Linked DNA regions of Schizosaccharomyces pombe. Changing the gene in region 2 together with the main gene of any one other region gives a genetic interaction. Each region holds a gene or a part of one and is shown on either strand. Other genes may lie near its edges.

Region 1 (4,563 bases), on a different chromosome or scaffold from region 2:
ACAGATGAAAAGATAGGTCATGGAAGGATTAAGAATTCAGTATTGTCGTTAAAATTCGAGTGCTCTTATGCTCAAACGATAGCGCTGCTGTTGTCTTTAATGTAGTTCAAATTGAATGCACAGTGTAGCAGTCAGAGAGGCTCGATGCTTTTTAAAAACAAAATTTTCTTTCTCGTTCCTTGAATCTTCTCAAATATCGATATATTAAAGGCTTAGGCAAAAAAGTAGTAATAAAGCCGTAAATAGTCGGTTTTGAGTGTGTGCCTCCAAACCAAATCCGAATACTGAGATATGTTTAAACTTCGTTATCACAGCTACTGAACTAGTCGATATACGTTAGATATCAGCTATGAAGATTAAATAATTTAATATTCTGTATATTGCAAAACGAAAGGCAAAAGACTAAGTCACCTTCCGAAAGTAAACAGCTTGCTACAGATAATCTTAAGTAGCTCATTTGAATTTAATCGACCAAGCTTCACGTTCCGCTTTTACTATCATATCCCTTTATACCTTTGTTAGAATCTAGCTCGCATCGTTCGATTATGATCAACTATTTTCTCGCATTAGTTAAGGATCGTTGGATACTTATTCATGACTTCTAGCTATTTAAAAACTTGCTAAGCAAGAGGAGCTAGTTGCCTATAGATAGTAATCAAGAAATTTCTTCATTACCAACTTGGAATCTCGATTACTGCTTCCATTTATTAGATCCGTCTGATAAATTACCCTTCTAAATAAATAACATTGCTATGTTTTACTTCATTTACTCGCCTGACATATTTGGCCTAAATATAATCGTAAACAGAATAAAGGCAAGCATGCTAAATCATAATACCCGATGACATTTCAATAAATATTCTTTTATAGAGGGTACATTGAAAATGATAATAATGAGAAAATTCAGCTTATGGTGGTGGTCAGACAATTTTCTTATAAAAAATGTGTTTTCGGCTTCCAAAAAATTGCCCTATCTCAAGAACTTTTTTTGTAGAAGGTTAATGTTGATAAATGGGTATACCCCTAAATCGTCGTCATTGACTCTCTTTCCTCTCCAAACATCACCGTCATATAGAAAAGCGAACAGAATTCTGTTTTCACTGATTTTTTAGATAAATAAGGTTTTAATGCTTTTCTTGTCGATATTGAGTTTTATTCTCCCTAGTCACTCTTCTTCAGAAACTAAATTTTGTTTTGTATAAGCTTATACGCTTCCTTGACTTTTTAGATAGTTATTCATGTATATTTAGTTGTTGCATTATTAATTAGCAACTTAATTTCCGATCTTTAGTTCGTTATCAATATCGCTTGACCCTTTTTTTTCCTGGAAAGGGAATTTCTGTTTCTATATTCAGCTATGGCACTTGAATTAACTGAGCACCAATTAAACAAGTTGCGCGACTTTCTGGATGAGATTTTATTAGACGTGTCTCAAAAATACCAAAAGAAGTACGTTTTTCAATTCGTTTTGCCTAGTCTTCTTCACTCTTTTTATTTGCTAACATTGGTATCGTTAGATTCCATCCCGGTGGCTATCAAAAATTAGAGGAATTAGCATTTGATTTGGAACCATACTTTCAGGTGGTATCTTCTATTCCTTTGGAAAAGCATACTTTTCTCGTAACCAATTTCACTCTACGAGGTATCGACTTTTTTGTCGACACTATTGTTGGATTTCCGGCCTCCCCAGAGACAACTTTTAAGGTATTTTCCCTACTGGATTCTCTTTGCTTAAGGCTCATACAATCGGGAAATCTTTCTACTACAGATACTATACGGTTAAAAAGTCTGATGGAGAATTGCCGTATGGTTGTTATTTCAAAATTGAGCGACGTTCAAGGATACGAAATGGATTGTGCCTCTATTTTTGAGAAGAGTTTGAACAGCATAGATTTTTAATGCATTTGTTCTCCCCGTCATTATTTCTCCGTTTACTGACTAATTTTCTATAACTTTTGGTAGCCATTTGTGACTTCGATGGTATTTTAAAACAATTGCAACGTCAAAAAAAAGAACCATCAACTCGGAAAGATTATAATATTTTTGTACCCGCTCTTCTTTTTAATCACATTCATCTTGCCGTAAATGTCTTTTCAGTCTTCCATTCTGCCCAAATCCAGAAAGTGAGCTTTGAGATTGAATAGCGAGTTAATGTATGTTCTCTTTGCTGTTCATCCTTTACGAAAACAATAATTATACTTGGCAAGAAATCGACTTCTACTGTTTATTTTTGGAGTTTTCATATTATTGTTACCTGCGACGGAAGATCTCGTTACCTGCGATTTACAGTATGCGATTCGATACGTCAGAAGGAAATTTCACCTCAACAACTAAAACGGGTTTTTTTTGTTTTGCAGCTTTTAGTTTCCTATCTCCTCTTTTCACTGTTTTATTTATTGTTTTGTATGAAAAACGTGTTTTGTATCCATTAAATCTAAGAACTTTCAAGAATTGAACGCTGGAGCATTCTGTACATAGGTAAAAGTTGGATGAACCAATTATCTAAATTAACTGCTTTTTTTCTTAAATCTTTTATTTGCATTTCCTAAGGAAACTGCATTTGCAGCTTTTATGAGTATATTTATTCCAAAGGCGCGTCGACCTACCTTTGAGCTTCACCTTAGGATCCACGATGTAGTTAATATTCCGTTAATTACGGGAGTCATTTTCGTGAAATGGAATATTGAAGGAATCCATTCTCGTCATGCCAATGACCAAACCGAGGCTGAACCTGTATTGGAGCATCGCGTCACATGGGAATACGAGACTTGTGTGTCCGTTCGTATGATAATCGACAACGATAACCTTTTAAAAGATAAATTTTTAATTTTACAAGTGCTTTGTGATTCTCATACAGATTCTGGTGTCATACGTCTAGGTATTCTAAAGATCAACTTGACCGAATATGTTTATGTCGGTCAAGACACTAGAAAATATTTGCTTGCTGACAGTAAAATCAATGCCACTATACGTATTGGAATAAGCCTTAAGCAAACATCCGGTAATAAGGACTTTAGAGTAAGCAAGACACTTGGGAAACCCCAAGTATTTAGCGGCCTTACGGGTCTTCTGACAGATGGTAAAGAGCTAAAACGGCGCGATGATGAAGTATACACATCGACTGGGCTTGCTTCAGCTTGGGCAGAGAAAATGCTTCATTCGATAAAGGACTTCAATCAAAAAACCACTGTGTTCCATATGCATACCCGAAATAACAAGTATGACACCAGAGAGATTGTAGACGACATTTTCTTTGGTGGAACAGGATGGGCCGAACCTCCCAAAATAGCTGATATTGTAGACGCCGCTGGCGATACAGATTTAATATCATTGGAAATTAGGCAAAAAAGTTGGGTACTTCCAAGTGAGAAAGTATTGAACAAAAGACTTCCCTAATGCTGTCCTTTGTTTTCTTTCGAACTTTTGTTTATATTTATATATGTATATATGCATACGATATTTTTTCGTTACCACATTTCTTGATAATAACGTTTGCCAAGTTGTTGTAATTATTCATCCGTGTAAAAAAGTTGATTTATACTAATATTTACCTTAGCCATCGTTGCAAAAATTGTAAGAGTAAGAAAATAATTTATTAATTCACTTTAAGGAATATATTTATTATTAACAAAATCAAATTAAATATCAGAATTGAATTATTGACAAAAGCTAGGATGTCCGTCTATACGATTCATTAAACTGTGTACTCTATCCAGCGGTAAATGAACATGTTCGGCTATACGAATTATTTTGTAAATTGTAAACCATACATTGGGGTCCGAGGTCTTACCCAATGGCCCATCTCGGGATACATCTTCGAACCTGCTAAGAATTGCATTTATACCATCAGTGGCCCAGTCCTTTAATTTTTCGTTTGGGTAGCTTGCATAGAAAAGTAAATCTTCGAGCTTTTGGTTGTCTGAATAATAAAGATTTTGCCTTTCTCTTTCAAACAAAGAACAGTTTCGCGATAAAGCATTATCCAATTGGACTGACGCTAATTCACAACCGTCTTCAAGTATCAATCTTTTATTGATGCAGTGTTGAAAATCGTGTTGTCCTCCAAATGTTGCCTTGGTACGTAGCTTCCATAAATTCCAAATTTCTGTTACACATTGTGCAGATGTCCCCAAAACCTGATAAGCATGATTTGCAGCCAGAGATCGGATTTCTTCATCATCGTCGTTAAGGAAGTCTCCCAGTAATAAGTAGAGAATATAAAATTCGAAAGAAAACGCTTCAGCTGTTGATTCTGCGTTGAACAAATCAAAATGTATTATGGAATCCAAAGCGGCCTTTCGAGAGCTAAATGGCTGATATTCATTGGAATAACTTAGTAGTATTTCTACCCATTTAGCAAAGGTTACCTTGTACTCAAGGAAGTTTTCGGTTTTTAGTTGTTTGATGCATGAACCCAATAATACTATAAAACTTTCTTTTATGGGTAGGCATTCATTTGAAAGGATGTTGGAAACCATATCTGAACATGAAATTCCTAAAAGCCTATAGCTTGTAGAGTTCAAGGAATCCGAAAGTAACGATAATGCAAGGGCTCTAACTTGA
Region 2 (4,592 bases):
CACAAAGCATTTTATGTTCATCGCTTCTACGGCGCAGGTAATCAGACGAATTTTAAAAGTGTAATTGGTGATTTAAAAAGTTTATGTTATGAAAAGAAAGTTAAGTACAATAAGAAAGCATTAAGCATGTGGATGTAATTATTGGATGTGTTAGTTTACTCTCTGCATAAGTGCTCGGTGGTTTTATAAACTAGTGAGAAGAATGATTTCCGAGTACTACTTGAAGTTAAGAAAATAATTAATACAATCTCTTTTGAAACTAACCAGTCCATAATAGTATTCAAAGAATCTGGAAAGTACAGAATTTTTGGGAGCCTGACACTGATGCGTTATAGTAAACACGGTAATGTAAATTTGTTAAATATTTAGTTTAACGTAATGGATTGAGGGTTACCATAAATAGAATTCATAAGAAAAAATGGAGGAAGGGTGTCTTTATGATGTCCGCTAGCATTAAAGAGCATTTTTTTATTCAAGGATCGTATTCATATAACTGGAAGGCTATGTTAAGCATTTTTTTAATGCCTTTGTATGATTATTGTTACCTGATTTATGTTTACGTTATCTATGCGTGGTGTCACTAATTTGCAGTATATGTTCATGTGAGACGCACATTCGATAATTTACCATTAACGTGCAAGTTACATTTATTGAAAGTAGGTAATTTGCATTCTAATGGGTGGTCTCGTTGTTTTACTTGTCGGCCTTTTGACGGCCTTAATGAGTGTAGTTTCTTACTATGTCTCGCCCAAGGGAAATAATACTAGGTAAGAAGTTTGCTACTGATTGGAGTGAATCATCTATATATCGAGGTATAGCAATTATGTTCCCATTTAAAGTCTTGTGTTATGATCAGTAGCTTGTTTTTACTTCGTTTCATTTTCGTTTAGAGATATGGAAAAGTATATGTGATTGTCTTTCTTGCAACCAATCAAGGTAGCGCTGTTTAGGCCTTGTCTTCAGCTGCACATGGACAATCTGGAATTGGGATCAGTTGCTTGTATTATATTTTCATACTCCTTCCTTTAACAAAAGTTTTATTAACTCTCAATTAGTACTTGGCAGATGTCATTAATTCTTACTTTTTCTTGTTGCTATTTATTATGGTTAGTGCATTTGTGGTGTTCTTATGCATCCATATTGTTTTTCTTTTTTACTAACATCGTTCTTAGGGCAATTACTTATTTAGCACAGTTGCATCCATTAGAGGCTCCATCTCGAGTTCTTGAGTAATGAAGTTTAGTATAATCATAGTGATTTTTAATGTTTGTACATTCTTCCTCTTTTATTTTACTTATCGTTTAGACTGCAAGCTTTCCAATTAGAATCTACTTTTGAACCTTTTCCTCTTCCTATTTTTTGATACTATTCGTTTCTGATCGTCGGGCTCAACTTTCTAGTCTCTAAAATCCTATTGGTGTTTGTCGATTATTATTACAAATCAAACACGTTTGAGTATTTCTTATTTTTATAATCCATATCTTTAAACGTTTCTTATTTTAATATATATATGGAGTCAGTTAAGTCATGGCTGGAACCTGGCGTTATTTAAAGGTCGGTTCACGTGGATTTCAACATTGCATTTAATCTTTGCGAAAGGATATACCTTCATTATTTCTTTTCTTTGATTTTACTAGATTTATTGGTCTCCCCGTCTTTTGGTTGTCGCTTTTTCTTTTACTCGGATGTGTGTATGAAAGGCGACGTATATTTACGTTATCAAAAGCCTTGCTACAAATATACTGAATCATATAGAAATACAATAAAAAATTGAAATAATAGACACAACAGGATATTCAAAAGTTTTTTTGGTGCCAAAAACTCTAAGATGTTGTAAGTTTAGTTTAATATTTGGACTGAAGTTCATGATAGTAGTGGCGCTCCTAATACGCAATTTTAGTTGACTAAAAAAAATATTTGAGATAGAGAAAGTCTGAATTGTTATTAAAGGTCTACTGGCTTCATAAACACAAGTTCGCGACTATTCAACATTGTTCCACTATAGCACATAGACATTTGCACACACTGATAGTTAAGAAATACATTTTACAGTGTGATTTTGAACGGATTGGTTTCTTGAAAAGATAGGAAGACTGAAAAAATAAAGATTCGTATATAAAAAAAGCGAAAAACTTACACTAGTGATGTTGAATGCGATATAATTTTCTGTTATGAAGAAAAAAGGGTTGAACTTACCAAATTTACGCATTTACTAGATTTTTCGTGTATTATACCTTTTTAAAATGAAACAAGAATATATTCCGCTAGACGAATTCCCAAACAAGTCTAATGAAGGGATGCTGAATGATGAAGGTACCTCTTCTTCTGGCTTATCGACAAGAACGCGTAGCTTAGAGCTTTTTGACAATATGGAAGAAAGTGGCTCCTTTCCAAAAGTGGAAAGGAAAATACAATCGCTTTTGGATGAGCTGGCTGAAGTGTTGTTTCAATCTAAACAGCCCAACGACTTGACCAGGATTCGAAAAGCCATCGCTGAGCAGTTGCAGTTATGGTGTCAAGCTTGTCAAGAAAACGCTGATTTATATAGGAGCCAGCAAAGGAAATTGAAGAGCCGTTGGGACTCGCAGACAGACATTTTATCCCAAATTGAATCGACCAAAGCAAGTCTGGCAGAGGTGCACAAAGCGGAAGAAATATCGAATCTAAAGACAAGCATTACACATTTAGATGAGGAAATTCAAATTTTGCAGGAAAAGTTGGCGATTGTAACGAACCAACGAAACACCCTTGTAAAACGACTCCAGACTTATGATAATCTAGAAAAGAAAAAGGCACTCAGTATGGAAGATCGCCTTTTAACTCTGCAGGAGCAGTATGATGCACATGCTAATGTATCTTCCCTTGAAAAACGGATGGAAGTATTGAAGAAAAGAGAAGATCTTTTGCGACTAATGGTCGGGCAAGCACTTCCAGGAATGCAATTCTTCCAACGTTTGATCCATCAAATCCAAGCTGTCGAAACAAAACTAATCTCAATACTGGGGCCTACTTCTTTATCAGAAGCTGCTTTGCCTCCATTAACTGACGTTCAGCGCACTAGTGTATTATCACTCTTGACCTCGACTCTTCACTCTTTGGAGTCGGCGAGACAGATTGCTGACTCCAATACATGGAAGCCAATCATTGTTTGTTTAGAGCTCGAAATTGTATATTTTGAGAATATGCTTACTGCGATAACCTCGACTCCCGTTTCTTCCTAATAATTTAATTTTCATTCCGTATACTATCAATACAACCTTCTAATATTAAAATATGGTCATTCAATGGCACAATGCATTCCTTGGCGTGTTGACCGACAGCCTTACTACTTTTACCCTGCACGGCTTCAAGATACCTGTTAATTGTGGAGAAATATATATTTCATACATGATTTTACCTCCAGATTTTCAGCCTCATCTAGCACCACATCGTTAAAATCGTATATAATATTTATTTCAGCTGTATTTTCGGCATGATATTTATTTAATAACACCAACTTTGATCATCTTTGATTTGTCTTCTCAAACTCTCTTCTACACAACAAATGACAAAATGTTAAAGTAATGCGAGTCGAGTTCATTAGTGATTCAATTCAAATATGCTATTGAATGCCTATTTCCATACTTAAACTGTCAATCTCCTACCCAAATCAAACACTGTCATAATAAACATCCCTGAATCTAAAGCTACCTTAATAATCTTTGTTTTGTCTTGTTCAACCATCAACCTACTACAAACGAAACAGTTTTCAAAAAGTAACACCATTTTAGTTTTCAAACAATTCTACGCTAATACCACGTACATTCACTTTCGGTTCACATAACCGATTCTGTCAAACATCCTCAGAATGTCGTTTTCCATTTCGAACCCATTCTTTCAGTTTTCCATTTCCATTCAATACGACACAGTCGTATGAAGATGGATTCTAGCTTATTTGCAAAATGTCACGGAACCAAGAAATCCGATTTTGAACAAACGACATTGCGGCTCCTTGTTCGTCGCAATCCTCCGTTTGAGTGAAATTCATCGAAATCACTTCTAAAGCTACGCTGTCTTATTTTTGCCGCACTCGGACTTTGACATCACTCTTAAAAATCATCGAGCAATAGAATTGTTGATCAAACGGCTTGCCACGCACTTTGTCTGCTGGTGGTATGAGACGCTAGTGAAGTTAACTATTACAGCAAACATCGTTCACCTACATATATATTGAATTGAAAGCCCGCGTTGCCGATGGGCAAAACGAATGAAACAAGAATCTTCCAATAGCGAAATTTAGACATCATATCGCAAATATTACTTTTAACTGCGTAGTTTAAAATTCAGGATCGAGCTTATCTGCAAAAGAAAAGAAAGGGAGATCATTGTTCTACGCTTATTATCATAGCATTCCCCGATTGCTACTGACCTTATCAAAACTATTCTTGCAAATCCCATTCTCTTTTCGCTTCGTTTTTGTCCATACAGTGGAGTTTGGGAATTTTTAAAATCTTTTCGTTTTTTTTACGGCTTACAAGATTTAAAATTTCTCATTCATACACTTGATTACTTATTTTATTGTTTCGTTTTTGTGTGTGTATTTTGTTTCTACT

What was found. Genes that interact genetically often act in the same process or in processes that back each other up.
Region 1: mutations in SPOM_SPBC1685.04 (region 2) and SPOM_SPCC1494.08C together harm fitness more than expected from each alone (negative genetic interaction), as found in Schizosaccharomyces pombe (one large-scale study listed by BioGRID).

What each region holds. Positions count from the first base shown.
Region 1 is NC_003421.2:2,340,392-2,344,954, reverse strand, and holds SPOM_SPCC1494.08C (uncharacterized protein), read left to right. Parts: upstream 1-2,320; 5' UTR 2,321-2,571; coding exon 2,572-3,396; 3' UTR 3,397-3,551; downstream 3,552-4,563. Other genes in the region: transcription factor TFIIH complex subunit Tfb6, read left to right, coding at 1,358-1,449, 1,518-1,899; trm732 (tRNA methylation protein), read right to left, coding at 3,657-4,563.
Region 2 is NC_003423.3:500,630-505,221, forward strand, and holds SPOM_SPBC1685.04 (uncharacterized protein), read left to right. Parts: upstream 1-2,034; 5' UTR 2,035-2,243; coding exon 2,244-3,221; 3' UTR 3,222-3,564; downstream 3,565-4,592. Other genes in the region: vma9 (V-type ATPase V0 subunit e), read left to right, coding at 676-767, 1,056-1,106, 1,173-1,233.